Diceros bicornis minor: one gene and its partner. The protein of the gene in region 2 interacts with the protein of the main gene of each other region in a biochemical or structural test. Links are inferred from orthologs where the notes say so. Each region holds a gene or a part of one and is shown on either strand. Other genes may lie near its edges. The genes, in order: GNA12 and ARAF.

Evidence for each region.
Region 1: the proteins of ARAF (region 2) and GNA12 form a complex in vitro, tested with the Homo sapiens proteins (2 studies listed by BioGRID). The link is inferred for Diceros bicornis minor from reciprocal best matches to the Homo sapiens genes ARAF and GNA12.

What each region holds. Positions count from the first base shown.
Region 1 is NC_080765.1:11,704,709-11,720,837, reverse strand, and holds the start of GNA12 (guanine nucleotide-binding protein subunit alpha-12), read right to left. Parts: upstream 6,380-16,129; 5' UTR 6,333-6,379; coding exon 6,021-6,332; intron 1-6,020. UniProt on the Homo sapiens protein: Guanine nucleotide-binding proteins (G proteins) are involved as modulators or transducers in various transmembrane signaling systems. Activates effector molecule RhoA by binding and activating RhoGEFs (ARHGEF12/LARG).
Region 2 is NC_080781.1:41,314,442-41,330,506, reverse strand, and holds the start of ARAF (serine/threonine-protein kinase A-Raf), read right to left. Parts: upstream 6,096-16,065; 5' UTR 5,932-6,095; intron 5,363-5,931; exon of another isoform or gene 4,805-5,362; 5' UTR 4,728-4,804; intron 4,694-4,727; exon of another isoform or gene 4,586-4,693; 5' UTR 4,527-4,585; coding exon 4,431-4,526; intron 4,259-4,430; coding exon 4,155-4,258; intron 3,432-4,154; coding exon 3,329-3,431; intron 3,239-3,328; coding exon 3,084-3,238; intron 2,972-3,083; coding exon 2,873-2,971; intron 1,200-2,872; coding exon of another isoform or gene 1,185-1,199; coding exon 1,043-1,184; intron 934-1,042; coding exon 694-933; intron 602-693; coding exon 399-601; intron 1-398. UniProt on the Homo sapiens protein: Involved in the transduction of mitogenic signals from the cell membrane to the nucleus. May also regulate the TOR signaling cascade. Phosphorylates PFKFB2.

The DNA of each region.
Region 1 (16,129 bases), on a different chromosome or scaffold from region 2:
ATCAGCAAAGATACAGAACTCAACACCACGATCAACCAACAGGATCTAAATGACATATGTAGAAAACTCCAAACAACAGAATATACATTTTTTTTTCAAGTGGCCATGGAACATTCACCAACACAGGCGCACAGAACATATACCAAGATAGACCATATTCTGGGCCATAAAACAAACCTCAACAAATTTAAGAGAGTTAAAATCATACAAAGTATGTTCCCTGACCATAATGGAGTCATAGAAATCAATAACAGAGAGATAACAGGAAAATCTCTAAACTCTTGAAAACTACAACACACTTCTAAATAATCCATAGATCAAAGAACATATCTCAAAAGAAATCAAAATATGTGGACACAGCTAAAGCAGTGCTGAGGGGGAAATTTACAGCACTTAAAATGCTTACATTAGAAAGAGGAAAGGTCTCAAATACATAATCTAAGTCTCTACCTCAAGAAACTAGAGAAAAAAGGCAAAATAAACCCAAAGCAACTAGAAGAAAAGAAATAATAAGAGCAGAAATAAATAAAATTAAAAACAGGAAAACCATAAAGAAAAATGAATGACATAAAAAGTTGGTTCTGGGGCCAGCCCGGTGGCGCAGCGGTTAAGTGTGTGTGCTCTGCTGTGGCGGCCCGGGGTTCGCAGGTTTAGATCCCGGGCGCACACCGACCTGCCGCTTGTCGAGCCATGCTGTGGCGGCGTCCCATATAAAGTGGGAGAAGATGGTCACACATGTTAGCCCAGAGCCAATCTTCCTCAGCAAAAAGGAGGAGGATTGGCATCAGATGTTAGCTCAGGCTGGTCTTCCTCACTAAAAAAAAAAAAAAAAAAGCTGATTCTTCAGGGAAAAAAAATAATCAATAAAAGTGATAAATCTCTAGGAAGACTGACAAAAGCAAAAAGAGAAGACACAAATCACCAATATCAGAAAAGAAACAGAAGATATAACTACTCTCACCACTCTTACTCAACATAATATTGGAAGCTCTAGCCACTGCAATAAGGCAAGAAAAAGAAATAAAAGGCATATCTATTGGGAAAGAAGAAATAAAACTGCCCCTATGTGCAGATAACATGATGATCCATGTAGAAAATCCCAAGGAATCTACAGGAAAACTCTTAGACCATGTTTTCAGCAGGGTCACAGGACATAGGATCAAGATACAAAAATCAATCACATTGTTGTGTACTAACAACATGCATGTGGAAACTGAAAATAAAAGCATAGTATCATTTACAATTACTCTAAAGAAAATGAGATACTTAAGTATAAACTTAATGAATCAGGTATAGGATCTGTATGCTAATAATTGCAAAATGCTGATGAAAGAAATCAAAGATGACCTAAATAAACAAGGACATACCATAGTCATGGATTGGAAGACTCAACAAAGTAGAGATGTCAGTTCTCCCCAAATTGATCTATAGGTTTAATACAATTGCTATCAAAATCCCAGCAAGGTTTTTTATAGACATAGACTTATTCTAAAATTTATATGGAAAAGCCAAGGCCATAGAATAGCTAAAACAATCTTGAAAAAGAAAAATGAAATGGGACAAATCACTCTGATATCAAATCACTCTGATATATAGCTACAGTAATGACCACAGCGTGATACCAGCAGAAGGAGAGACACAGATCAGTAGAATAGAATAGAAAACCCAGAAATAGACCCATATCCCCATTTGATTTTTGACAAAGGTGCAAAAGCAATTCAACGGAAGGATAGTCTTTTCAACAGACAGTCCTGGAAAACCTGAACATCCATAGAAAAAAAAGAAGAAAAGAACCTTAACCTAAACCTCACACCTTATACAAAAATTAACTCAAAATGGATGAGGGTCTTAAATGTAAAATATACAACTGTAAAACTTTTAGAAAAATAAATAAGAGAAGCCTTTGGGATCTAGGGTTGGGTAAAGAGTTCTTAGACTTGATACAAAAAGCATGACACATAAAGGCAAAAAGTGATAAACTGGACCTCATCAAAATTAAAAACTACTGCTCTGTGAAAGACCTTGTTAAGAGGATGAAAAGGTAAGCAAGCTATAAACCGGGAGAAAATGTTTGCAAACCATCTATTTGACAAAGGACTAGTATCTAGAATATATAAAGAACTTGCAAAACTCAATAAAGAAATAAGCAACCTGAGGCCAGCCCAGTGGCGTAGTGGTTAAGTGCACGTGGCGGCCCGGGGTTCACAGGTTTGGATCCCGGGTACGCACCAACGCACCGCCTGTGAAGCCATGCTGTGGCGGCGTCCCATATAAAAGTAGAGGAAGATGGGCACAGATGTTAGCTCAGGGCCAATCTTCCTCAGCAAAAAGAGGAGGATTGGCATTGGATGTTAGCTCAGGGCTGATTTTCCTCACAAAAAACAAACAAAAAAAAGAAATAAGCAACCTAATTAGAAAACGGGTAAAAACACGAAGAGACACTTCAATGAAGAGGATGTACAGATGGCAAGTGGGCTCATGAAAAGATGTTCAACATCATTAGCTACTAGGGAAATGCAAATTAAAACAGCAATGAGACAGCACTTACACACCTATCAGAATGGTTGAAATAAAAAATAGCTGACACAACCAAACGCTGGTGAGGATGCAGAGAAACTGGATCACTCATACCCTGCTGGTGGGAATGTAAAATGGTACAACCACTTTGGAGACAGTTTGGCAGTTTCCTATAAAACTAAACATGCAACTATCATACAACTGAGCAACTGCACTCTTGGGCATTTATCCCAGATACATGAAAATGTATGTACACACAAAAACATGTATGTCAATGTTCATAGAAGATTTAACTCATAATAGGCAGAAACTGGAAACAACCCAGGCATTCCTCAACAGGTGAATGGTTAAATGGTGCACTGTGGTAGATCCATACCATGGATACTACTCAGCAATCAAAAGCCATGAACTATTGATTACTGACACATGCAACAGCTGGGGTGAATCTCCAGGGAATTATGCTGAGCGATACAAGCCAATTCCAAGAGGTCACATTTTGCATGATTCCACTTACATAATATTCTTGAAACGACAAAATTATAGAATTGGAGGATAGATCAGTCATTGACAGGTCAGCGAGGGGGAGAAGGGAGGAAGTGACTATAAAAGACAACATGAGGGATGCTTATGGTGATGGGAATGTTCTGTATCTTGATTTTCTCAATGTCAATATTTGGTTGTGATACTATACTACGGTTTTGCAAGATCTTACCATGGAGGAAAACTGGGTAGAGGGGACACAAGATCTCTGTATTATTTCTTACAACTGCATGGGACGCTACAATTACCCAGAAATTAAAAGTTTAATTAAAAGAAAAAAGACCATGTTTGGTTCCCAGCTCTGAGACCTGCTAATTAGGTAACTGACCTTGAGCAGATTTTAAACTCTCTTATCTCCAGCCGGCCCGGTGGCGCAAGCGGTTAAGTGCGCGCGCTCTGCTTCGGTGGCCCGGGGTTTGCAGGTTCGGATCCTAGGCGCGCACCGACGCACCGCTTGGTAGGCCATGCTGTGATGGCGTCCCATATAAAGTGGAGGAAGATGGGCATGGATGTTAGCTCAGGGCCACTCTTTCTCAAGAAAAAAGGGGAGGATTGGCATCGGATGTTAGCTCGGGGCTAGTCCTCCACACAAAAAATAAATAAAAAAACTCTCTATCTCCAATTTCCTCATTGGCTAAATGGGATAATACCATCCGATGCCTTATGAAAATTAAATGCCATATATGAAAGGCCCTGGCAATGTGCGTATTTAAAAATAGCCTGTTAACACTAAATCTATTTGTAGACACAATTATTATTCTAAACAGTATCATCCAAATGCCCACTACTAAAGCCACTACAAAGCACCTTATTAAAAAGTTTCTTCCCAAAGTGATCTGTCCAAATAAAAATTGGGGGGGGGGGGATTTTGGTTTTAGACTGAAAACTGAAATTCTAATTAGTTACTGAAATAGTCCCAACAGATAAAGTGAGTTTAATATGGAATTACAATTAGTAAAAAAGTTGGGAAGGAAAGTAGGATACCAGTTAACAAACCCTGTTTCTGTTGATAAGGAAGTCAGTAAAAGTTAATGTTTATATGCATTGGGAAAAGGTTAAGACTGAGTTTTCCAAAACGCACTTAATACACTGATTTAGATTTAAGATTCTATGTTTCTAAACATTTTCTCTGCCTCCCGAGTTGAAAAAAACTGGGAGATAGTCAGCCAAATCTTTATACTCTACCTGCCTGGTTTGGAGGTCCAAAAAGCAGCAAAAATAAAATCTGGCTCTGTGACAGAGAGAGACAATCGAATGCACTTTACCCCAGAAGATGAGGGGAATTTTAAACACACAGTCCATCCCCCGGAACACACTGGGCACCCAGCCTTTAAAGTTTATGAAGTACTGGGCCAGAGCTCTGACTCACAGAGAGGCTTTTGAAAGAGGTGAAAAGGGTGTTTTATCATTCAAATTATTCTCTTCCCGTCAGGATCCTAAAAGAGCTATTTCTCTTAAAATGAAACATTCTAGTAACAAACACATAACGAACTGGGGGTACTAGTGCAAGATTCCTGATGCAATCCTGGAAGAAGGCAGGCCTGCAAGTCTAGAGGCCAGGGTTCCAGCATCCAGGCCCCAGCGAGGAGCCACTTCATCTCCAGGGCCCGGAGCTTCCTCATGGCTGAAGGGAAAGAAATGTACCAGATGGGTTTCTGCAGCCCTTTGCTAAATTGAAAGTCCCTCAGGCACCATAAAATCTAGTCTCCAGGCAGCTTTCTGGTATGACAAGCTTCCTTCTACCTCTGCTTAAAGACAACTTTCCTCATACCTGTAATTTGGCTGCCCCAAAATGGGCCTGGGAAAGAGTAAGTGAGGGGACAAGAAAAGTGTAGAGGTAAACTCAAAAAAAAAAAAAAAAAAAGAAAGAAAGAAAGGAAATGACCCTATTTAGGTGCCCGATAGACTCTACTTTCCCCTCACCATCACTTTTCTCCAGATTTCCTTTCTTTGGGGCCCTTTAGCACAGGCTCTCTGTAGAGAGAGACTAGAACCCAGACTTTGTCAGCTCTATGGTTTTTTCCACAAATAAATTGCAAAGAATAAGGGAACAAGAGATAGGAGAACCTGGAGATAACACACCATTTAAGAGAGACATTAAAAATTGCAATGTAAGGATTTAATTTATATCTTGATGGAAACAAACAAAACATTTATGCAACAAAAGAGGAAATCTAAACACTGGCAGGATATTTGAGGATATTAAGGAGTTATTGTTAATTCTTAAGGCTGGATACTGATAAGGGTACTGTGGCTATGTTTTTTAAATGAGGCCTTATCTTTTGGCGATACATATACTAAAGTATTTTCTAATGAAGTTATACAATGCCTGGGATTTGCTTCAAAATCACGGGGGCAGGGATACAGGGGAAACAAGACTGGCCCTGAACTAATCATTGCCGAAGTTGGCGGGACAAGGGCCATGGGTACACATAGTTCGTTTTATTCTACTTTGTATCTGTTCGAAATTTTCAACAACAGTGTAAAAGGAGAGACTTGCGGCCGGTTTCCTCTGCAGTTTACACTGCTCTTCTGCACTCACTGGAAAGGCAGGACAAGGATGGCTCCCTGACCCCAGAAGACTGGCAGTGGGAAACGCGCAGATGCCATCCTGCCAGGCCGCGTCCTCGACCCAGAGTCCAGGAGGGGCCCTCCTCACTACCAAGACCCGCCCCACCCCCGCCCCCGGCAAATCCCCAGTTGTCGCCCAGCTTTTCCGCCTCCACCGCCCCCGAGTTCCCGAGAAGAGCACAGGCGAAGGCCATCAGGCCGACGGGGAGAAGGGGTGCGCATCCCTGGCCAGCCCCCCAAGGCTGGGAGCACCTGGCCACTGGGAGCTGCAGCCAGGTCAGGGGGCAGACGAAGGGGGGGCCGCGGTCCCGGCCGGGGCGCGGTGGTCCGCGGGGCCGCCCCTGCGCGCACCTGGGCGCAGGTGTGCGGGTGGGGCGGCGGGGCGCGCGCACCTTGAGGATGTTGTCGAAGATGGTGTCGCGGAACTCGAGCAGCGCCTTCTGGTCGAACTCGCGGCCGTGGATGATGCGCATCTGCTTGAGGAAGGTGGACTTGCCGCTCTCGCCCGCACCCAGCAGCAGGATCTTGACCAGGCGCCGCACGGCGCGCCGCTCGCGGGCCAGCCCCGCGTCGATGTCCCGGCTGCGCCGCCGCGCCTCGCGCTCCGCGTCGCGGGCCCCGCCGCCGCCCGCCCGGCGCTCGCGGGCCCCGCCGGCCTCGGCCGGCAGCAGGCAGCGGCTGAGGGTCCGCACCACGCCGGACATGGCCGCTCAGGCCATGGACCCCGCCGCGGGCGAGGCGAGCCCCGCGCGGCTCCGGCCGCTCCCTCAGGCCGCGTCCGCCGCCGCCGCCCCGAGGCCCACTCTCGCCCGCCGCTCAGCCCCGGCGGAGGGGCGGGGCGGCACCACCCGAGGCCCGGCAATTGGGCCGGCTGCCGTCCATCCGGACGAACGGGCCCTCCGATTGGGCCGTGCCACGCCGAGGGGCGGGCATCCTTCCGGCCCTCGGGGCGGGGTCGGCGCCGAAAGAGGCGGGATCTTTGGGGTGGAGACGCTTCTCATTGGACGCCCGTGCCGAGGTTCTTTCTTGCAGAATGAAAGGGAGGCGGGGTCGTCGGAGAGGCCGGGCGGCCGTCCGCCATAACCAACTATAATTGCTCCGAGAGCACGTCAATCACAGTGCACAGGCTTGGGATTGGGAGTTTCGCGAATCGGGGCGGGACCAGAAGTGCCAGGTGTACAGAAAGAGGCGCCCTGGGCTCCCAGATGGGTCAAGCTGTGAGAGCAGGAGGTTCGCAGAGTGGACTTCACGTTCTCTGAAAACTGGGAAATGCTGATAAGAGGTCCCGCTGCGCGTCTTAAGCTTAGAGAGAAAGCTGTTCCCAAACCATTTTCCTTCCAGAAACGCTGGGGGGAATGGGCCACACGTTTCAAATAAATGCACCCTTTGAGACTGGCGTGGGCCCTTCGGTAGCTTTTCTCAAAGCTTTTCTGAGATCTAAAGATTTTAATCATCAAAATCACCAGAAGCCCCTCGGAAAAATCTTATGTAGCACAGTGATTGGGAGTGGGGTCTGGAGTTGCTGGGTCTGAGTTGGAATAGCCAATCGACCCCTTACCAGTTGCATAAACTTTTTTTTTAAACAGTTTTATTTATTTATTTATTTTGTGAGGAAGATCAGCCCTGAGCTAACATCCATGCTAATCCTCCTCTTTTTGCTGGGGAAGACCGGCTCTGAGCTAACATCTATTGCCAATCCTCCTCATTTTTTTTTTCCCCAAAGCCCCAGTAGATAATTGTACGTCACAGTTGCACATTCTTCTAGTTGCTGTATGTGGGACGTGGCCTCAGCATGGCCGGAGAAGCGGTGCCGCGGTGCGCGCCAGGGATCTGAACCCAGGCCGCCAGTAGCGGAGCACGCACACTTAACCGCTAAGTTAAGTGTAGCCGGCCCAGTTGCATAAACTTTTAAGTAGCTTTTCTTTCTTTCTTTCTTTTATTTTTCCCTCCTGTTTTTAGCTTCAATTTCCTCCTCTGTAAAATGGGGGTGATAATAGCAACCACCTCATATTGTTGTGAAGATAGAAACTGAGAACATGAACTTGTAAAACACAGCACAGTGCCTAGGCCCCAGTCAGTTCTTGCTAAGTGTCAGCTGACTTATCAGATTCTTACCTGTCCCAGATCGAGTGTGAGTCAGAACCTCCTGAAAGGAGCTCCGGTATCTCTTCATCCCCAGGTAATTGGCCAGATTTAGGAACTAGGGTCTGTTAAAAGAGAAACCCAAGCGTATTAAAAATTTTAAGTTTATTTAAGAGCAAAAATCTATTCAAACCTGATGGCACAAAACCAGAAGTGGTTAGAGCACTCGACGGAGGGGAGCCAGAGAAAAGACTTATATAGAGAAAGCATGGAAACAAAGAAGGAAATCATTGATGGGTACAGCTTAAAGGCTAGCTGGCTGTTTGTAGTTGGTTGTCTTTAGCGTTTTGATTTTGTAACCTTGAGGCATTTACAGGATTAGATTTTGGTTTGCTTACATAGGCTGCCACGGCATTAGAGCCTCCTCAGTCTAATACCCTCCTTATTTAATTAATTAAACAGGGCTTAAAGATCATCCTGTCCAAATCCTCCTTCTCACCAGGTGGATAAAATCAAGACCAGCGTACAAATGACTGACTGACCTGAGGTCCCACACAAGAGCCGACTAGAACCCTGCTCTCTTTCACTACGTGACCCTGCCTCTACAGAGGGTATGCACAATAGAAAAAAATGATTAGTCAGTGTGATATCATTCGGTTCTACAAGTAATTTTTGCATAATCATGAAAATGCCAAGCACTGGGGACTTCTGGAGAGGAAGCTGAAGATGGAAAAGACGCAGCCGTTGCGTCAAGAAACGTACACATTAGTTAGGGAGCCAGACCATTCAAGTCACCAGGTAGGGTGCAGACCAAAAGAATCCCTAGTTTTCTGCCATAGAACCGTGGTATTCAAGGAGTTCACTGAGAGATCTAAACTCTCAGAGGACCTTGAATGCCCTTGATATGTGGCATTTGTCGTTTACTGAGGCATAAATTTTTATCACTTAAGGAGTCAACTCATTAGTACTCTGTAATCCTTCAAAAACGATGAAAAAGAAAGTCTTGTTTCTTTGTGAAAACGGCCTTCCACAGAAAGCCAAACACTAGTATTATAATAGAAGTGAAGAACAAGTGGAGAGGCCTCAGAAAACAACGTTTCTTAGACAGAAAATAGGAATTTTTGACAAATAAAGAGAGGAATGTGGAATTTAGCAGTGGACCAGAGTGAGCCCCTCATTCAGTTAAAAGAAATTAAGAGAAGGTGATTCACAAAACACTTTGAGCAAATGCTTCAGACATTTACAAATAACTTTGTATCTTTGTAAATAGATTTATGCCTATGTTTATGCAATCTTTATACGGTATCCAATTTGGGGATCTGACAAGGTCTCTGGACATATCCTTCACATCTGTCAAAGGGCTAAGGTGCTTGAAATAAACAAGCTTATCTGTGTACTCAGTAATCATCTCTCCATTATCCCTCACCTTTGTATGGCGTGTTTTAGTTTTTAAAGTGCTTCCACACACATGATCTCATTTGTGCTGTTCTACACTGCTGGGAAGGAGGCGAGGCAGAGACTATGGTAATAGAAGAATCTGGCTCCCAGGGAGCTAATGTCACTTGTCGGGGGAAGTAGGGTTGGTAAGTTGCAGAAGCTGGACTGGAAACCTGACCCAGTGTATGCTCCATGCACAGTGTGAGATGGGTGAAGGCGTGAGAGCTCTGAGGCTTCGTGCCACCTCCTGTTAGCTGTGTGACTTAAATAAGTCACCTAACCTCTCTGAGACTTAGTTTCTTTATTTGTAAAACCAGGATAAAATAGGGCTGTGATAAGTGTTAAGTAAGTTAACACATACAAGGCCCTAGCACATAATGGGCAGTCAATAATTTCTAACATTATTATTATCATCATCATGGAGCTTTGGGAATCAGGTACTGCAAATTTAGAATTTTAGAATAATAGTAATGGCATGAAGATGAAGAATCTATAAGAATCTACCTATAGATTCTTCTAACAATCTATAATCTATAATATTAATACAGTGTTTGATATTAAAAATAAAAACCTGGGAAAAGGTCAGGTTAAATAAATTAAGGTACAGCCATATAAATGCAATAACATAAAGTTCCTAAAAAGAATAAGGAAGACCAAAATTTGTAAACAGATGGCCACCATGTGTTTAAAAATTGCTGGAGGGGTGGGGGGGTATGTGGCCTGAATGCTCCTCTCAACTCCTGTTCAATTCCACCTCCTGAGCTAAGGGACAGCCAGGAGGGAGGGTCCGATGGCAAGGCCTGGAATGTATATGTGGAATAGCGAGCTCTTCTGGAATCCTAGAAAAGGGGACAGTCACAGGACACTTTCATTCTCCTGCTGGGTGGGAGTGAGGGGACCAGCAGCTCAGAGGCCTGGGAAAAGGCCCAGGACTCTGGGGTTCCCAAAAGGAATAGGGTCTCCTTGGGTCTCATGGATGTAGTCTCCTGTGAGGTCCTTATAGGGCTTCTCTAGTCTGGGGAGAATGTGGGAGAGCTGCACGGGCCCGGGGGCTGGGAGATTCCCCCCCCCCCCCCCCCCCCGAGAATAGGAGCTTCCAGCATCACAGCTGTGGAGACCTGGGAGCTTCCTCTTGGTGCTCATTAGAGGAGCAACATCTTGCCTGTGACCTTATCTTTCATCATTGCAAAAGAAACCGTACAAGCTTTCCCTGAAAGCCACAGAGCTCTGAGAAGGAAAGAGAAAATTTAAATAGACTTAAGGGGACCCATGTGCCAGAGAGAAGATAAAGCAGAACGTCTCAACTAGTGGTAAATAGATGAAAACTTTACATCATCATCACCACCAGCACCACCATCACCACCATCACCATCATCATCATCCCACCTTAGGAGAATGTTCATGGCATAAAAAGACATAGAACGACAACAACAAATGATGATTTTAAAAAAATTTTTAATAGAAGAGAAAATGGTAACCACTGAGTACTATTGAGAACAACGTGAGAAAACTGGAAGATAAAATGAAAGAAATATCTCAAAACCCAGAGGAAAAGTATAAAGAGATGGAAATCACGAGAGAAGGGATAGGAGACTTACATGTGAATGATAAGAGTTCCAGAAGGAGGGGGAAAGAGATGGAGGAGAGGAAATATTTAAAAGAAATAATAATGAGACTTCTTTTTCTGAAAGTATAGTAGACCAAATTCTCAGATTAACCCTCCTGCAGCAACAATTAAAAATGCTGTGTAAACTATTCAAAGCATTTTTTTTTTTCAAGAGTCACTGAGCTGAGTAAGAAAGCCCCAGGGGCCAAAATCACAGTGGAAGCAGAAATTCAAAGAGTTAAGCTGATTCATGGTGAAGCCTCCAGCTGCCCTGAGGACATCTGCTGAACCCTTGTAAACTCCGCCTTCTATTTTCCTGGCTGCAGGTGAGAGACCGGAGAGAAAACCTAAAGATCATCAAAGGTGGGGAGTCTGACAGGAGACAACTGCATAAACCCAGGACCGCAACAGACTGTACATCAGCGGAAGAGTGAACCAGTAAAATCAATCGTATGGATATCAAACATTTATCAACAGATTCAGTTCCAAGGAGTGTACATTGAAACAAAATCACTAAACACACGGGAAAATCAGGCATCATGACTGAAAGTCAGCCCAGACTAAGGACAGCAGAATCACACTCAGAAGGATTTGAGATATTGGAGTTATCAAATACAGATCATAGGATAAATATATTTAATATCTCTAAAGAAATTAAAGAATGTATTGAAAGTATAAGTAAGGAATAAGAGAATATAAAAAATGCCTGGGGAGAAGTGAAAAAAGAACCAAATAGTACATCTAAAAATGAAAAATATAATAATTGAAATGGAAACTTAATAGATATGCTAAGTTACAGATTAAGACACAGATGAAGAAAATAACTTGGAATGTAGATCTGAAAAAATTACCCTGAATCCAACACAAAGATATGAAGGATGGGAGGCAGGAAAAATAGAGGAAGGATATGGAACATATGTCTAACCAGAGTTCCAGAATGGGATAGAAAGAGTGAGGAAGAGGCAATATTTGAAGTGATAATGGCTGAGAATTTTAAACCGACAAATGACATGAAATGTTTAACGTGATGAATAAAAAGAAATCCAAACCAAGATACACCTTAGTGAAACTGAAGGACATCAAAGACAAGGAGAAGATCCTAAAAGCAGCCAGAGGGAACATAATAAAAGCTACCATTTATATAATAGTTACTTGGTGCCAGGCATCATTCTAAGCACTTTGCATATGCTAACTCATGTCATCCTCAAAGGAACCACACAAACTGAGAGCTGATATGTTAATGACAAAAGTGGAAGCCATATAGGAAATAGTATCTTAAAAGCATTGAGAGAAAATAACCGTTAACCTAGAATTGTAAACTCGGTAAAAATATCTTTGGAGAAAATGAGGACATTTCAAACATATAAAAACAGGAAATTATTTTATATTAATAATGTGTGTTATGGGCTGAATTGTGTATCCTCCCTAAAATTCATATGTTGAAGTCATAAGCCCTAGTACCTCAGAATGTGACTGTATTTGGAGATGGGATCTTTAAAGAGGTAATTAAGTTACAATGAGCTCATTGGGATGGGTCTTGATCCAATATGACTGGTGTCCTTATAAGAAAAGGAAATGTGACACAGACGTGTATAGAAGGTAGACCATGTGAAGACATAGGGAAGAAAGGCCATTTACAAGCCAAAGAGAGAGGCCTCAGAAGGAATCAGCCCTGTTGACACCTTGATCTTGGATTTCCAGCCTCCAGAATTATGAGAAAATAAATTTCTGTTGTCTAAGTCCCCCAGCCTGCGGTCCTTTGTTATGGCAGCCCTAGCAATTTAACACAGTGTGCCTCAGGAAGAAGGAAAAATAATCTCAAAAGGAAGGCCTACCATTCAAAAAGGAAAGGTGGACATTTTGTGAACATATAGATGATTCTTTTCATTGACTATATTAAACAACAATAATAATTTTAACTTATAGAGTTGAGAAAAAATAGAACTAAAATACTGGACACTAGAGGCGTATATGTAGGGAGAGGGCAATCATAATTAAAATGTTCTAAGATCTTTGAATTGTTTGAGAAGAGAATAAATATTTTGATTAATGTTAAACTTTGTCAAGTTAAATATTCATGTTAAAATTTTTAGGGTAAACACAAAAAGAAGAGAGATAGGGTCTATAAATTCCACACTAGCAGAGAAGAAAAATGGAATGAGGAAACAAAAATCAATCAACACAAAAGAATGTGAGAGATGAAGAAAAAAGAAACACGAGAATAAAAATAGGACAAAGAGAGCAAAATAAGAAGGTGGAAATAAATCCACATATATGACTCATCAAAATAAATGTAAATAGACTAAAATAGTTAAAAGACAAAGACTGTCAGACTGGATAAAATAAAAACAAGGTCCAGTTACATGCTTATAAAGGACATACCTAATGACCCAGGAAAGATCAAAGTAAAAGAATGGAGAGAGATTTACTGACAGGCAAATACTAACTGAAAGAAGTCTGGCATATTTTTATTAATGGAAACAAAATAGATTTTAAGTCTAAAATCTTTACTAGGATAAAGAGAGTCACTTTATACAGTAAAAGGTTTAATTCACTAGTAAGATATAACAATTCTAAACCTGTATGCAGCTAATAACATAGCCTCGAATATTTAAGGCAAAAAAATTGACAAAACCTCAAGGAGAAACTGAGGAATCCACCATCATTGCTGGGGTGAGGGTGTGGGTTAAACACACCTCTTCTAGTAATTAATAGTTCAAGCATGGGCTGGCCCCATGGCTTAGCAGTTAAGTGAGCGTGCTCCGCTGCTGGTGGCCCGGGTTTGGACCCTGGGGCGCACCGATGCACTGCTTCTCCGGCCATGCTGAGGCTGCGTCCCACATACAGCAACTAGAAGGACGTGCAGCTATGATATACAACTATCTACTGGGGCTTTGGGGGAAAAAATGAATAAATAAAATTATAAAAAAAAAATAGTTCAAGCAGTTGAAAAATACAGTTGTGGTGGTCTATTACATTAGTAGATCTCAAGTCAACCACTTCTCCTGGTATTTATGCCCTTACGCAGCCCCTCCACTTGAATCTGGATTGGACCTGGGACTTGTTTTGACAATGAGAATGTGGCAGAGGTGACATTCTGCCAGTTCCAGGTGTAAGCCTTAAGAAAGCCTGACAGCTTCCGTTTTTGTGCTGTTGGAGGCCTGAGTTGCCATTTAAGAAGTCCAGCTACTCTGCTGGAGAGACCGTCAGAAAAGGTAAAGACCTTGAGATGGCTTAGAAAGGGAGAGGATCCCAGCCAGCCCAGGGTCTCAGCTGAGCCAAGCCCTCAGTCAATACTCAGCTGAATACATAGGAAGGATAGCATAATTTCCCAGCTGAGCCCAGCCCAGTTTCTAGAATCAGGACCGAATAAAACGTTTTAAGCCACTAAGTTTTGGAGTGGCTTGTTATGCACCAATAGATAACTGAAGCAACAATGAACAAGTTGACCTAATAAATGTATATTGAACAGTGAACCCAATAATTTGAGAATACATATTCTGTCCAAATACAAGGAACACTTTCAAAAATGGACCACATAATAGGCCGTAAAGCAAGTTTGAACACATTTTAAAGGATCAATATCGTACAGACCACATTCTCTGATTATGTTGCAGTTAAATTTGATATCTTGAACATAAATATATCTTCTGAAAACTCCAAAGTTATGGAAATCAAAAATAAATCTTCTAAGTAAATTCAGCCCAACTTGTTAAACTTGTTTGCTGCTGCATCATAGGAAAAAAGATGCTAGGGTTATTTGTTACTGCCTCGTCACCTAATTTATCCTTACTGATACAACTTCCATGGGGCATTGTGGTCTAAGAGTTAAGAGCATGGGCGGTGGGGCCATCTGCTGCATCTGAATCCTGGCTCTACCTTCTACTAGTTGTGGAATTAGAGCAAACTACTTCATGTCACTGTGCCTCGCTTTTCCTCATCTGTAAAGGGGGAATAATAATGGTACTACACCGGTACAACGTGGTTGAAATCATTGATTGTTAAATGAGACAACGTATATAAAATCGTAAGAAGAATGACTGGCACAAAGTTGGATTTTAATAAATATTAATTATTATTACTATTATTATCTTCATACTACATACAATAAAGCCGACACTCAGCAATGTAAAGTCTCTTGCCCCAAATCACACACCAAGGAAGTGGCAAAACCAGAATTTGAATCCTGGTCTTTCAACCTCACTTGGCACCCTATGCTCCCTTTACAGCATTGTGCCTCCCTCAGAGCAGCCCCTTCACATGACTAAGAATAGTGTCACTGTGGCTTCCTCTTCCTGCCTCCCCACAAGCCTATCCACCTGGAAGAGTCTGGCAACCCTGGCTCACATTCCCAGGAAAGATTGCTCTTGCCTCAGGGCCTCGGCTCCAGGCTATTCCCTCAGCCCAGAAAACTACTCCGCCCTCAATTATCTCCCAGATTCACCCATTAGAGCTACACTCAAAGGACACTTTCTCAGTAGGCCTTTCCTGACCCCAAACTTCCCCATCACATCCCCCAAATTAGGCTCAGTTCCTATTATATTCTCTCCCAGTGCCTCATACTTTTCATTCCTAGCATTTATCACACTCAAACTTATTTGTGTAATTATATGTTGAATGTCTGTCTCCCCAACTACGTCCATGAGGCAGAGTCTATGGCTATCTGTGTAGGGCTGGAGCCCCTGTTCCTGCACATGGTAGGAACTCAATCATTGTTTGTTGGGTAGATGGGTGGAAGGAAGGAAGGAAGGAAGGGAGGAAGGAAGGAAGGAAGGAAGGAAAGAAGGAGGGAAGGAAGGATAGACAGATGGATGGGTGAGTGGATGGATAGATGGATGGATGAGTGGATGGATGGATGAGTGGATGGATGGATGAATGAGTGGATAGATGGATGGATGAGTGGATAGATGGATGAATGAGTGGGGGAATGGATGGATGGATGAGTAGATGGATGGATGGATGGATGAGTGGCTGGCTGGCTGGCTCGTTGGATGAATGAGTGGATAGATGGATGAATGAGTGGGTGAATGGATGGATGGATGGATAGATGGATGGATGGCAGGCAGGCATAGTCTCCAGGGGCCTTGAGAGCATGGCAGAGGGCCCTCTCTTTAGGATGAGCTTTGTAACTCCTCTAGGAAGTAGACAAGGGGATTCTCTAGAGTGCTGCCAGCCAGGGTTTGTAAGAGAGAGTTAGTTGTCTTGCTGGCTGATTATCTCACCCAAGGTCAGCAGTTTTTAAGGAAGAGTTACTTGTGGGACCAAGCATCACCTGCTGAGGCTCTTCCCTATTGGAACCTAGATTCTACTTACTTGTCCCCCAAACCCCAGAAAGGGAACATTTATGGAAACTAACAGTCAGCAATTTTGAGAACC
Region 2 (16,065 bases):
AAGCAGAGGGGAAGGAAGGACCAAGCCCTCCTGGCGACGCAGTTAACTAACATCATGCTATTCACGTTAAGTACACGAAGTAACGTTAATGAGGTCCTGCGGCCATCCCCATTTCACAGCAGGCAAACGAGAAGACTCATGTTGGCGGCAGAGCCGTTTATTAATATCAATATTAACCCAAACACAAACAATAACATCATCAGAGGTCCTCTAAACCTACCCATTTCCCAGAGGGGAAAAAGGCATCCTTGAGAGAGAGAGAACTTCAATCACGGTTCTAACGCCACACAAACACGGGTGATGCGCGGGAAGCGCCCTGAGCATGGCCCTTCCCCAGAGAGGCGCCGAGGCTGTGCCCGCCGCCCCCACCCCTCACCCCCACACGCGTGCAATCTCACCTGAGCACCTGCATCTCGTTCTTGAAGGCCTGGGCCTGCTCAGCTGTGGGTTGGGCCACCTTGAGCACCTTCACGGCCACATCACCATGCCACCGCCCGCGAAACACGGTGCCAAACGAGCCCGTCCCGATCCTCTTCAGCAGCTGCACCTCACTGGGTGGCACCTCCCAGTAATAGCCTGAGTCCCGGTACCCCAGATTCTTCTGTGGGCCACATGGGGGGCATCTCAGGGGCCTGCCCACATCCCTCATCACTCAGCCTGTGGTGCCCCCCAAAGGTTCCCCCTGGAGCTTACCACTTTCTTCTTGTCATCAGCCAAGGACTTCCGCTCCCGCTGCTCTGATGGGGACTTGGAATGTGGGGACTTCCTCCCCGAGGACACACTGGCCGGGCTGGGGCTCCCCCGGGAGGCTCCATCACCACCACTTCTACTACCAGCAGCTGTGGTTGTGGAGAGGGTGTGAGTGGAAGCAAGCAGGGTGGCGGGCGGGCTCAGGGCGCAGGCAGTGGGGGGCTCACCATCAGTGCTGAAACTCTGGGCAGTGGAAGAAGACGGACGGGAGTCAGAGAGAGGACATGGAGGCCAACAGGAATGGCTCTCCCTTCTGCCCGCTGCTGCCCGGTGACCGCCCCCCGACACCAACCTGGATGAGGCTGGAGTCCATGGGGGCTGTGGTGCTAACCATATGGACGTTGGGGGTGGACGTGGAGCGGATGCGCTGCAGGGGGGCGTTGGCCGAGGCAGGGAAGGGGAAGTGCTCAGGGTCACGGTGCTGGGTGCAGGAGCTGGCAGGGGAAAGGCTGTGAGATCACCGTCGAATGAACAGGAGACCCAATAAAGCCGCCCCCAGCCCCAGCGTAACGGTGTGTTTAGCTCACACAGAGTAAACATCCACTGTCATTACTATTATTCATTTCTTCCAGAAACATTTATTGAGTGCCTGCCGTGAGCCAGATACCATTCTAGGGAGTGGAAATAAAACTGAGAGCGAAACAAATAAAAGTTCTTGCCCTCGTGGGGCTGATGTTCCAGGAGGGAGAGAGAGAAATAAAAAACAAATAGTTAATATGTCCAATAGTGATAGGTGCAATAAAAAAATAAAGCAATGTAAGGAGACAGACAGTGCCCCCGGTGATGTCAGGAAAGGCTTCTCTGAGATGACATGTGAGCAAAGACCTAAAGAAGGGACAGTGAGCCACACAGATAGTGGGGGAAAGAGTAACATATGATATTTCATAACTAAATGTATTATTCAAATATATTATGTATTATATAATATACAGCATATTATCTATATTAAAAAGGCAATGTTTCAAAATATACATATCACAATGTTATATGTTATACATATACGTACATGTTATACATGATACACGTTACATATATTATAATGTTACAAAAATATTTCTTAATGTTCCCTTCACTATCCTGAAATGAAATTCATAAGTAATTAATCCACATACACCCATAATTAAAAATAACACAATACCCTAACTTTACTATTTTCTATACCATAGTCCCCCTTATCCGTGGTTTCACTTTCCCCGGTTTCAGTTTTCCACGGTCAACCGCAGTCCGAAAATATTAAATGGAAAATTCCAGAAATAAACAATTCATAAGTTTTAAACTGTGTGCTGCTCTGAGCAGCGTGTTGAAATCTTGCGCTGTCCTGCTCCATCCCACTCGGGACGTGAATCATCCCTTTGTCCAGCATATCCACACTGTATACCCTACCCACCCGTTAGCCCATTCATTAGGAAAAAACATCGTATCTACAGGGTTCAGTACTATCCGCGGTTTCAGGCATCCACTGGTGGTCTTGGAATGTATCCTCGACAGATAAGGGGGGACTACTGTATTACATAAAAATATATGATGGTCTACATTATATAAAAATATAACACATGATATAATAAGAAACCTACCATATAAATATAGATATTATAAAATATACAATATAGACATATAAAATGTGTATTATATAAACTTATGATGTATTAGAATAATAATATATTTTAACATAGAAATACTATAGTATTATAATGCTTAACATAAAGGAGAAATAAAAGGGAAATTATGATAAAATAACATGTATTTCAAAGTGGAAAGGCTTAAGCATGGTGATACTAGAATAATTAACAAAGCAGTTAGATGCTCATATATATTTATAATTAAGAAGAACTTATTATTCTGCACCAGATCTTTTCTAAGCACTGAACATCTTAACTCTAACCCTCACTAGAACCTATGTGGTAAAAAGTATCATTATCCCCTCTTTATAGATGAAAAAACTAAGGCCCAGAGAGATTAGATGACTTGCCCAAGGTCCCATAGCTCCATGCCCTTACTCACACTTGTAGGTGCTCAATAAATGTTTGTCAAGTAAACGAGTGAATAAACTATGGCTTGTGGTCTACAGAGGCCTCTAGATCTTTTTCTCCTAACAGAGGCCCTTTGGCTAAGGCATCCCTACCTGGGACCCTGAGGGGTTAGCGGCTCATTCAGGGGGCGGTTCGAGGGAGCCTCGTGCTGTCTGGAGCCTCCGGACAAATCCTGGACACTGTGGTGGAACCTTGAGGGCATTAAGGGTGTAGAGCAAGGGGATACGGGTCAGCTGTCTGTAAGAGCCTTGTGGCTGGGCCTTTGTCCTCCCCATACCCCCACCCACCCCAGGCCAGGCTCACTGTCGGCGGTTGGTACTCATGTCGACACAGACTGTGGGGACCTTGGAGGAACAATGCTGGTGGAACTTGTAGCCACAGGTTTGGCAGCGGAAGCCATGGAACAGAAACTTAAGGCAGAAGTCACAGAACGCCAGGCTGAAGAAGGTCTTCCGTACCTGCTGCCACAGAGCGGGGAAGGGTGAGGCCTGGTCAGGGGCCCTCCCCCCAGGCCCACGGTCTGCCCCCACCATGCACCCCGCACTCACAAAATTGTGCATGGTCAGCGGGACGTCTTCGAGGACCTCCACAATGAGCTCCTCGCCATCCAGGGGGGCAATGGCTGTGTCCCAGGCAGTGACTGTCTTTCTCCTGCAGGAGGCATGGAAGGGAGTGAATGGGAGGGTAGACGGGGGCCATGAGGAGGCAAGGAACACCCAAAAGTCCCTCCAAGCCTGCCATCCATGGAGTAATATCTGGCTTGTTTAATTCTCATCACAACAACTCCAGGAACTAGTTGCTATCCTTGCCCCCATCTTCCAGATGGGGAAACTGAGGCTCAGAAGGATAAAGTGACTTGTCCAGGCCACAAGGGATTGTGAGTGGCTGGACAGTGTGAAGAGTCCAGGCTTTAAACCACAAGGCAAGAAGCAAATGAGATAGTGAATAAACAACTAAGAAGAGCCAAGCAAGCCCCTGAAACAGCGACTGATGAGGCATTGAAACAACAAACAAGAAGCAATGTGTGAACCGAATAAAAAAATGAAGGAGCCCCAGGACAGAGGAAGGCATGGAAGGTCAGGAAGACCCAACTCGCCAGACAGAGGATGGGGAAACGGAGGAAGGAGAGAGCTGACAAACTGACGAAATAGGGAAAGAACAAAACAGATGGACTCCAGGAGGAGGTGACAGAGCACAGTGACGACCTGGAGGCCAAGGAGACAAGGTGTGGATCTTACAGGCCAATGAACTAATGAAGTCAGGCGTCACAGATTCACTGAACTCAGGGCAGACTAGTGGCAACTCCAGGACAGAGTGAAGAAGGAGGGGATGGGAGGACGGGCACTCAGCAGGGGGGATGGGGGGTACACTTACCCCTTGATGAGCCGGTAGACCACACAGCAATCCTGGTTGAGACCCCGCACCTTGAGGGCCTTGTCTAGAGAATCGTAGACGCTCATGCCATCCCGGACAGTCACCTGTGGGGGACGTGTGTGTGCAGATGTAGGGGGTCAGTGGCCAACAGAGACCCCAGCCGACTCTCCCATCCCTCTGCAAAAGCCTCCTCCCAGCCCTAGTCACCCTTCTGACCTAAGATTTCCAGCTGGGGCCATCCCCGCCCCACGCCCGTTTTGCTGCCAGCAGACTCACCACTGTGCGTTGCTTGTTGGGCAGGTACACTTTGACAGTGCCCACTGCCCGGGATGGCTCGGCCCCATTGGCAGGGGGGCCCCGTGGTGGATCCATGGAGCCTAGGACTTTGTCAAGACGGGCTGACGTGGGGCTGGGCAGGTGCCATGGGGCTCCTAGAAGACAGAGGAGGAATTCAGAGGTCCAATAATGATAGTCTGGAAGCAAAGACAGGGGACAAAAAAATTCAGTCTCGGGCTCCACGTCATCCCCTGTAGCCTAATTTCCACACAACAGCCCAAAGGATCCTGTTAACGCCTTGAAGTGGATCCAGTTCCTCCTCTGCTCAGCCCCTCCTGTTTGTCTCACTCTTAAGTGCCAAGGTCTCCGGTTCACTGCATGGGACGGAGTGGGGGTGGGGGACAACACAATGAGAGGCAGCAAACACTGTCCTGGAGGGCACAGGAGTCCACAAGTCTCTGTGCTGGGGGCTAACAGGGAAGTCAGCACACACTGCACTGCCACCTGTTAGGTACATAAGGGACATGAAGAGGCTGTCCCGGCTTTTAATGGAGAAGGGGGTTACCAGAAACTGGTGAGGGAGGAGTCACAGACAGGTGATGGGGAATGAATGAGGATCATCAGATATTGGCCTTAGTTTGGGGGAAATGGCAGTTGCACCAAAGAGTGTCCTTAAGGGCACTGTGGGCATCCCCAAGCCCTGGGCTGTAATGATTGTGGGCCCACAAACACGGTGGTAGGTGGCTGATGGGAGTCACCAGACTGTGATGGGGAGTTCACAGAGGCTCAGCAGACACTATGCTAAAAGGAGATGTAACAGGGGTCACTAGGGACTGTACCGGGGAGAAGAGTGGATAATGGGGGTCACCAGACACCGTCATGGGGAAAAGGAAGGTAATGGCGCATCACCAGACACTGCTGAGGTGAGATGAATGGGACTAAAGCAGGCGCGGGGGGCCTCCAAAATTCTCCCTGACAACTAATGAAGGGGCCACAGACATATAACTGGTGATAATGGAAGGAGGCCGGGGAAGATTAAGGAGGAGTAATGGAGAAATCCTCAAACATTCTCCTAGTGGGTCAGACACTGATCCAGAGTAAGGAAAGCGAGTAGTGAGCCGCGTCTCCACGCACTCCCTGCTGTTGGTAAGGAGCAGTCATCAGATACCTTAAGGAGGTTAAAAGGTAATACAGCCACAACACACCACAGCCCAAGCCCCTTTCGGGCCAGCCCCGCCTACCGAGGGCCTTCTAGTTCTGCGCAGGCGCGCTGCCACAAGCGGCGGGCGAAACCATCCCCCGCAGCCTTGCACCCCTATTCCTGTCTACCCCCCCCCGCCGTCGACGATGGTCTCGCCCCGGGTCAAACCACTCCTCCGGTTCCGGGCGGGGGGCGCCGGGGCCCAGGCGCAGCCATCCTGGAGCTGAGCTTTCGGTCCCGGCTCCCTGCCCGTGCCCGGCGGTCGCTCCAAAAACCTAACCCTGCCGGGCCCGCCCTCACCTGTCACGCCGCTACGGCCGTCGCCGCCTCCATCTTGGGCCTGTCTTCTTGTTTCCTCGCAGAGTCCGCCTCCACCGCCCCTCGGGCTTTCGCCATTGGCTCCGTAGGACTCAGCCCTCCATCTTTATTGGATTAGGGTCACGCCTGTCAAGGCAGGACCGGCGGAATGTGGGTCGTGTTCCGGATTAGGAGGGGCTGCCTGAAACGTCATGGTCTGGGGCAAATTCGCACGTCCTGACTCGCGCAGGCGCAGTCGAGAGGAAACCTGTGTGCCATGGGCTTTAACCCCAATCGTGCCATGGCGGAATAAAGCAGGGCTTTTTTCGGTCACTTGAGGCTGACTTTAGGGGTTCCTGAGTCTGGGCGGGAAATTCTTAAGCGCCCTTTGTGCTCTAGTGACCCAGAGCCCTAAGTACCCATTTGGGATTTCCCTGTGTCTCAGTTTTACCATCTTTGAAATGGGTTGGAATAAGCTGAAATATCTGCAATGTTTTTCAGTTTTAAAAGGCTGTAGTCATAGCCTTTGATAACAACAGGTCTCTAGTGTGGCCGGCGCTGGGAGTCTGGCCCTAGGAGGGTCGGCCTGCTCTTCTGAGAGCATTCCTTTGGAATGCAGTTAAGTATTTTGAAAGACTAGTTGTAGATGGCCAGGTGAAGAGGGGAGGGAAGTGTGGATCTGGAATGGGGCACAGTGCAGGGAAACGTGTGGAGCTCTTGTAGGGTAAATACAAATTTTTTTAAAGTTGAATTTTCCCTGGTGTCAAAAGTGAAAGAGACTTTCCACCTTTTCTTTTCTTAGAGCATTTCCTTTTGAGAACTTGTAATTGTAAATTTTTTCTGTCCCTTCGAGATGTATGTAAATCTTTTTAAACGCTAAATAGGCCTCCTGCCAGTTTTACTACCCAGGCATGTTGTTCTTTTTTTTGTGTGTGAGGAAGATCAGCCCTGAGCTAACATCCGTGCTAATCCTCCTCTTTTTGCTGAGGAAGACCGGCTCTGAGCTAACATCTATTGCCAATCCTCCTCCTTTTTTTTCCCCCAAAGCCCCAGTAGATAGTTGTATGTCATAGTTGCACATCCTTCTAGTTGCTGTATGTGGGACGCGGCCTCAGCATGGCCGGAGAAGCAGTGCATCAGTGGGCGCCCGGGATCCGAACCCCGGGCCTCCAGTAGCGGAGCGCGTGCACTTAACTGCTAAGCCATGGGGCTGCCAGGCATGTTGTTCTTAAGGGCCTTGGAGCCATCTCTTTGAAATGTAAACATCAACGGTGATAGAGCACCTATCTCCGTGGGAATTTGACCTAAGCGGCTGGCTCCAAGTTGTTACCTGCTTGTCAAAGAGATAATATGTTTTATGTTTCCTTTAGATAAAGGCAGATGGCTACCCCAATTTCCAGGTGAATTTGATATGAACTATGGTGCTGTCAAGTTTTCTCACTTGACGACAAGTTATCATCTTTCTTGAGAACATGTACGTAATGGGTTGTATTTGTCCGTCTATATAAAAGGATGAGGTTCCTTTCTGTCTTCCCAATCTCTTTAGCGAATTGCTTGTGATGTGCAGTGCAGTCTGGTTTAACGCTTATTCCATAATAAAACTATTTTATTCTTTTCTACCTTTTTTTTTTTGGTGAGGAAGATTGGCCCTGAGCTAACATCTGTTGCCAATCTTACTCTTTTTGCTTGAGGAAGATTGTCGCTAAGCTAACATCTGTGCCAGTCTTCTATTTTGTACATGGGATGCCGCCACAGCATGGCTTGATGAGCAATGTGTAGGTCTGCGCCCGGGATCCAACCCTGCAAACCCCAGGCCACCAAAGCAGAGTGCTCGAACTTAACCACTACACCACTGGGCCAGCCCTCTTTTCTACCTTTGTGGAGAGGGTTCCCTGGGTTGGCATGAGATTTTATTTTTAATTATTTCCCCAACAGTATGAACGGCCTGTTGTGTTTGAAGTGATTACATTCTCCTGTTTGGAGCCTCAGCATCCCTCTGCCATGAAATAAGAAAAATCAGAGAAAGGTCACTAGGCGAGGGGGCCTCAACATGCTTCAGCTTATATTTATTAAATGTGTTCTCTGCCTATAAGGAGAGAGAAAAAAGTTCTGCTTACTGCATATAACCTCCATTTCCCATCACCCCTTTTCTATTCGATCTTTACCTATTCGATCTTTACCTTTCAATGGCTAAAATTAAAAAGACTGACAATCCCACATATTGATGAGAATGTGGAGCAACTGGAACTTTCAGACATTGCTATTGGAAGTGTAAAATGATACAACCACTTTGGAAACAGTTTGGCAGCTTCGTATAAGTTAAACATAGACATACCATGCAATCCAGCAATCTCATTTCTAGGTATTTACTCCAAAGAAGTGAAAATATATGGCCAATGGTGTGCTGGTAAATGTTTAACAACCACCTCTCTAGGAAAAAAAGCGTTTGCCAACTATGGTGTAAATACTCCCATCACGGCTTTCAAACTACTAATATGACATCACTGAAGCAGAGTTGAGAACAGATTTGCAAAATCCACTCTGGTGAGCCCACCACAGCATGCTACTGCAATATGTCCGCACAAAAACTTGTACTCAAATATGAATTAGCTTTATTCATAATAGCAAAAAACTGGAAACAGCTCAGGTGTCCAAGAAGGTAAGAATTGACAAAGAAACAATGGGGTCAATGAAAGGGAACAAACTACTTCATACGTCTATGAATCTCGTAGACATAAGGTTGAGTGAAAGAAGGCAGATACAAAAGAGAAATACTGTATTATTCCATTTGTATTAAATTCTAAGCCAAGCAACACTGATCTATAGAGAAGGAAATCAGACTAGTTGTTGTCTTGAGTAGAATGACTGGGAAGTACATGAAGGAACTTTGGGAGGTGATTGGACTGTTCAGTATGCATTTATCATTGAACTCTATAGTGAAAATGGGTAAATATACCTCAATTAAAGTGCATGGCCAAAAAATGGCTTCAAACATAATTCTAAACATTTTGATTGCCTACAAATTCTTTTTTTCTTCTTCTTTTTTTTTGGTGAGGAAGATTGGGCCTAAGCCAACATCTATGCCCATCTTCCTCTATTTTGTACGTGAGATGCCTCCACAGTGTGGCTTGATGAGCAGTGTAGGTCCGAGCCCAGCATCTAAACCCAGGAAGCCCAGGCCGCTGAAGCAGAGCACACGGAACTTAACCACTATGCCACCAGGCTGCCCGATTGCTTACAAATTCTTATTGGTTAGAGAAAACTTTTTTAAATTCTCTGTTCTGAAATTGAATCCCTGGACCCTACATCCCCATCTCCCAGTGCAGGAGCCCTGGCGGCAACCTCAGTGCCATATGGGGTCAGGAACAACTCCTATCGGAGCTCAGAGAGGGGCTCCAAAATCCTCGCCAGGAGGAAGAATAAGTTCAGGGGCGAGGGGAGTGCATTTTAAATTTCAATTCATTTAAATATTATTTAATTTGTTTAAAAACTTTCATTTCTATGCAAATCAAAACAACACTAAGATATCACCTCATGCCTGTTAGAATGGCTATAATCACCAAGACAAAAAACAACAAATGTTGGAGAGGATGTAGAGAACAGGAAACCTCATACACAGCTGGTGGGAATGCAAACTGGTGCAGCCTCTATGGAAAACAGTATGGAGATTCCTCAAAGAATTAAAAATAGAAATACCCTATGATCCAGCCATCCCACTACTGGGAATCTATCCAACGAACCTGAAATCAACAATCCAAAGAGGCTTATGCACCCCTGTGTTCATTGCAGCATTATTCACTACAGCCAAGACATGGAAGCAACCCAACTGTCCCTCGAATGATGATTGGATCAAGAAGATGTGGCTATATATACCATGGAATACTACTCAGCCATAAAAAAAGACAAAATCGTCCCATTTGCAACAACACGGATGGGCCTGGAGGATATTATGTTAAGTGAAATAAGCCAGACAGAGAAAGACAAACACTGTATGATACCACTCATATGTGGAATATAAACCAACACATGGACAGAGAAAACTGTATTGTGGTTACCAGGGGCAATGGGGGTAGGGGGTGGGCACAAGGGGTGAAGGGAGACATATATATGGTGATGGACAAACAAAAATGTACAACCCAAAATTTCACAATGTTATAAACTATTAAAACATCAATAAAAAAAACTTGAATTTCTAGGCAATATTTGAAAACATTTCTGGCTCCATTGCACGTTTACAAAAAGATGAGCAAAATCCCAGCGTAAACTCATTGCCCACGTGCTGTGCGGGGAGGAGGGACCGAGGGAGGGTGGGAGGCGGGCGCCCACTCAAGCGCAATCCTTTCTCTCCCAAGGACTCATAGACTCGCTCCAAACTCATCCCAACTAGTGCGACTTCAGCCAAGTACCTCACCGTACCGGACAAGCTGTGAGGGCCTTTGAAGTTGAATTGGGTTTTTATCATCATCATCACGTTAAAACCATCAGAAGTACCAATGTATTAAAACAAAAATTAAGCCCGCACTAGCTGATTAAGGTTTTCTGACATACCCCTTGAAATTATTCACCTAGAAATCTTAAAACATTTTTAAGCGGTTGTTGGTTTTTATTATTGTTGATTTTAAATTCTTAGAAACGTATCTAAAAAATATACAAAAATCTTAAGTGTTTGCCAACTGCCGTTGTAATGCTACCCATTTTACAGCTGAGCAAATTGAGGTTTAGGCTGCCGTAACCAGAGGGATGGAGGAGAGAGCTTCAGGAATTCAAGTTTGATAAAAAGTGTTCGAACAAGGGTGCAGGCCAAAGGCACCTCCTTAAGGAATCTTGGATCCACCCCAGCGGTCCTGCGTGCCTGAGGCTCTGCTTTAAAACCTGCCACTCTCATTTCCCAAGGCCACCGCCCTCGCCCGCCCCTGCGGCCGCCTGGAGAACACCGCTTCTGAGACCCCATCGCACTGCCTCCCTCTCCGCTACGCATTTCAGGAGAGACAACCGCGCGTACACATTTCACTAAGGGACAGACGGAGGCTCAGCTGCACGCCCTACAGGCCTGACTCAGCGCCCTCAACTATGGGTCCTGCAAGCCGCCGCAGCGCTCTGCAGGGAGCCACTCTGCGCTCCAGGCCCCCAACAGGCAGCGAGATCAGCCAACGGCAATGCAGTGGAGGGCGGGCTTTGGGATGCCGCGGGCATTGATAGGCTCTGCCTCACCGCGGCGTTTAGGAGTGAGAGGAGAGCGGACTTCCAGACTCCGAAGAGCCACGGATAGACCGAGAACCGCGCACGGGAAGTGGGCTTTGGGCCGTCCCGGCCAACCGGAGGTGGTGCGGGCCTGAGACTTGCTGCAAACCAGCAACTTAATGTTATTTTTAAATTAGTGGCAATGCAACTGTATTTGTTCCATCTAAAGCAGAGTATGGAAGTTTCCACTTCTGAATATATTTCTCGAAGAGATTTTTAATATGCAACCCTGGAGCCAGAAGTGTGGGAAATTTACAAGTGAACCTACACGTTACTTTTAACTTTAATTTTTTTTCCTAAAAAGCCTTTCCTAACAAAATGCATTGAACAGGGGTCGGCCCGGTGGCGCAAGTGGTTAAGTGCGCGCGCTCCACTGCGGTGGCCCGGCGTTCGCTGGTTGGGACCCCAGGTGCGCACCCACGCACCGCTTGTCAAGCCATGCTGTGGCGCGTCCCATATAACGTAGAGGAAGATGGGCACGGATGTTAGCCCAGGACCAGTCTTCCTCAGCAAAAAGAGGAGGATTGGCATCAGATGTTAGCTCAGGGCTGATCTCCTCACACACACACACAAAATTTATAAGGATTAAAGTCATACAAAGTATGTTCTCTGACTCAAATGAAATTGAATTAGAAACCAATAACAGACAAATCCACTATCATAGTTGGAGACTTCAACACCCCTCTCTAAGAAAAGGACAGATCTAGCAGGGAGAAACCAACAGCAGAAAGATCCTTGGGAAACCCTCAAATATTTGGAAATGAAATAACACACTTCTAAATAACTCATGGATCAAAGGAGATATCAAAAGGAAAATTTTAAAAATCTTAAACTAAATGAAAAGGAAAATATATCAGAATCTGTGGGATGCTGCTAATGCAGTATTTGGGAAAATACCTATAATTAGGAAAGAAGAAAGATCTCAAATTGATGGCCTCAGCTTCCACATTGAGCAACTAAAAAAACAGGAGCAAATTCAACTCCAAGTCAGCAGAAGGAAGGAATTAATAAAGATCAAAGCAGAACTCAATGAAACAGAAAAGTGAAAAGCAATAGAGAGAATCAATGAAACCAAAAGCTGGGTTTTAAGGTCAATAAAACTGATAAACCTCTAGCCAGGCTGTTGAGGAAAAAAAGGCTCCACTTACCCAAATCAGGAATGAAAGAGACAGCATGACTGCAGATTCTACGATTAAAAAGGATAATAAAGGAATATTATAAACTACTTTATGGCAATAAATTTGACAACTTGGATGAAATGGGCAAATTCAACCAAGGCTCACTGCAGAAGATAACGTGACTAGCCCTATATCTACTAAATAAATTGACATTGTAGTTTAAAATGTTCCTGCAAAGAAAACTCCAGGCCCAGGTGGTTTTACTGGTGAATCTACCAAACATTAAGGAGGAAATAATAACAATTCTGTACAAACCCTTTCAGAAAATTGGAGAGATGGAAATACCTCCCAATTCATTCTATGAGGCCAGCATTACTCTCATACCAAAATCAGACGAAGAAATTACCAGAAAGGAAAACTACAGACCAATATCCCTCAGTAACATAGATGCAAAAATTCTAAACAAAATTTTGGCAAATCAAATTCCATAATATGTTAAAATGATAACACATTATGACCAAGTGGGGTTTATCTCAGGAATGCAGAATTGGTTTAACATTTGAAAATCAATCAGTGTAATTCACCACAAAGACCACAATAACTAAGAAAGAAAATCATACGATCATCTAAATAGCTGCAGAAAAGCATTTCACAAAATCTGACACTCATTTTGATAATTCCCAGAAAATTAGGATAAAAGGGAACTTTATCAACCTTCTAACAGAAAAAGAAAGGGAAGGGAAGGAAAGGAGCTGACCTTCTCAAGGCCATAGCACTGGCTGAGCTGGGTACCTGCAGGCCACTAGAATTGCTAAAACATCTGTCAACACTGACCCTTTTGGAAATTAGCCTTCATACTGGGTTCTTAGGTATGTTTAATCTCTTGTAACCCTGTCAGTGTCCTTGAGCTTGGATCATACAAGTTCTGCCAAGGGACATAGATCTTTGCCTTGATACTTTAATAATATCACTGGTGATGATTGTGATAAGAAGAATAGCTAATAATTACTGTGCAGTCACTGTGCATCATACACTGTGTAAAGTTTGATATAGATTGGTTCACAGAATCTTACGACAACCCTATGATGGAAGTACTTTAATAAAATATTAAAGATAAGGAAACTGAGACACAGGGAGGGGAAACAATTCATCCAAGGTCACACAGTTACATAGCAGGACATGGGGATATTCACATACTCTAACTAGACAAGTGGTCAAGTCCTAAGGCATTCTGGGTAACTTCAGAATTGATTTTCTTGTACCACATAATGTTATGCAACATTTACATGGGCGGATTCCATGTTATCTCCTTTGTGGACTTATGGGCTATAATCCTTTGTTATTTTAGTGGTTGCTTTAGGCTTTATAGTAAACATATATAACTTATCATAGTCTACCTTCAAGTGACAATATACCACTTCACATATAGCATAAGAACCTTATAATAGTATCCTTCCATTTCTCCCCTCCTTAGATTTATGTTATTGTTGTCATGCATTATACTTTTGCATATGTTATAAACCCTACATACGTTATTTTATTTTTGTTTAAATGGGTAATTAACTTTTAAAGAGATTTAAATAATATTTTAAAGAGATTTAATATATAAAAGCTTGTATATTTACCCACGTAGTTACAATTTCCAGTGCTCTTCATTCCCTTGTGTAAGTCCTGATTTCCATCTGGTATCATTTGCCTTCTGCCTGAAGGACATCCTTTAACATTCCTTGTGGTACAGGTCTGCTGGTGAGGAATTCCTTCAGCCTTTGTATTCTGAAAGCACCTTTATTTCTCCTATTTTTAAAGTTATCTTTTAAATTAAACTTTTCCTTTTGAGATAATTGTAGATTCGCATGCAGTTGTAACTAATATTAGAGACATTTGTATACCCTCTTCCAAATTTCCCCCAATGGTAACATTTTGCCAAGCTATAGTACACTGTCACAACCAGGAGGTCTCCTCAACTCGAGGAGTCCACTGGGCTCCCTTCATTCCCAGCCTTGTGCTGCAGTCTGGCAAGTCTCTCAAGGCAGTAAGCTGGGGCAATCACAGGACTCACCTGCTTTATTTCCTATTTCTCAGGGATCGGTGTCCTTCATTGCCGGATATAGTGTCTTTAAAACCAGTATTCCTTATACAGTGCTCTATGTCAATTATATCTCAGTGAAACTGGAAAAAAAATCATTGTTTCATTTATATTGTCTGAGATTTTTTTGGTGCTTTCAGATGAGAGGTTAAATCTGGTCTCCGTTATTTCATCTTGGCTGGAAACAGAAGTACTTCCTCCTTTTCTTAATGATTTTACACAATCCCCCAAACCAAGACCTTGGTGCTTTTTCCAAAATAATGATCCAACTCTGGGCAAAGTCTCTTTGAAAGCTGCTGTTTCCCTGAAGCTTTTGGGTTTTGTTTTGTTTTGTTTTGTTTTCACACCAGCAGAAATTTTTCCACACATAGCATCCTTCCTCTTGAGAAGGCCTGTCTGTCATCCCTTGTTTTACTTCTAGGTTAGCAGTTAAGTGCTTGATATAGAGACAGTCTAGATATACAATATGCTTTAGCACAATATTTCTATCAATCAGCTATTTTATATGAAACATAAATACCTTCAGGCATAGAAAGAATATTCTCTGAGCCTCCTGAACAATTTTTACTATGCTGTGGAATTCCATCCTCAGCTTTAATATTTAAAAAGTTTTACCAATATATTTATGGGGAACAAGTGTATCTAGTACATTCAGCATGTTATTTGTGGAAGAGAATGAAGGCATCTTAACCATATGTTATGAACTGAATGTTGGGTCCCCTCGAAATTCATATGTTGAAGTTCTAACTCCCAATGTGGCTGTATTTGGAGATGAGGCCTCTAAGGAAGTAGTTAAGGTTAAGGTCATAAGGGTGGGGCCCTGGTCTGATGGATTAGTGTCCTTATAAGAAGAAACACTGGAGAGCACTCATACACTTTCTCTCCTTCTCTCCCTCTCTTCTTCTCTCACTCTTCTCTCTCCCTCCTTCCCACCCTTCCTCCATCTCCCCTCCCCTTCACAAAGAAGAGATCATGTGAGCCCACAGTGAGATGGCAGTTGCCTACAAGCCAAGAGAATAGGTCTCAGAATGAAACCAACCCTGACAGCACCTTGATCTTGGGCTTCCCAGTTTCCAGAACCGTGAGAAATAAATGTCTGTTGTTTAAGCCTCCCAGTCTGTGGTATTTTGTTACGGCAGCTCCAGAAGACTAATGTACCATATTTCTCATTCAAGGATGGGAATCTGGGAACATTTCTTTCCTCTAAATTACACAACATTTCTGTCTCAAATTCATGTTCTCAATAACTATGTGAGCAAAGATGATGTCATCAAAGGACATGGAAGGAAAATATTTAAAATGTCTCTTTGTCAGTGTTCCCTTGGGAAATCACTAAAAAATAACAAGTTCTTGGTATTCACAAATGCACACTCACTCAAAAACCTTTGCAATTTTATAGATAATGCCTAATTTTCCAGTCTGAATATCATTCTATCTCCTGGGTACCCTTTTCTAATACAGAAGGAAAAAGAGATGTTTTATGGCATTAATGTAGAGTGAGGTATCCAAAGTTAGGATCAGTCCAGGCAGAGGCTGGCAAAGATGAGTTTGGAGCAAGTGAGGAGAATCAGACCCCCTTTCTTCCCTCCATGGTCCCAAGGATGAGGAGGCCGAACTTGCCAGGAACTGAGTGAGGGGACCTAGACCCACCAATTCCCAGCAAGGCCTAGCCTAGCTCTCTAAACCTGTGTC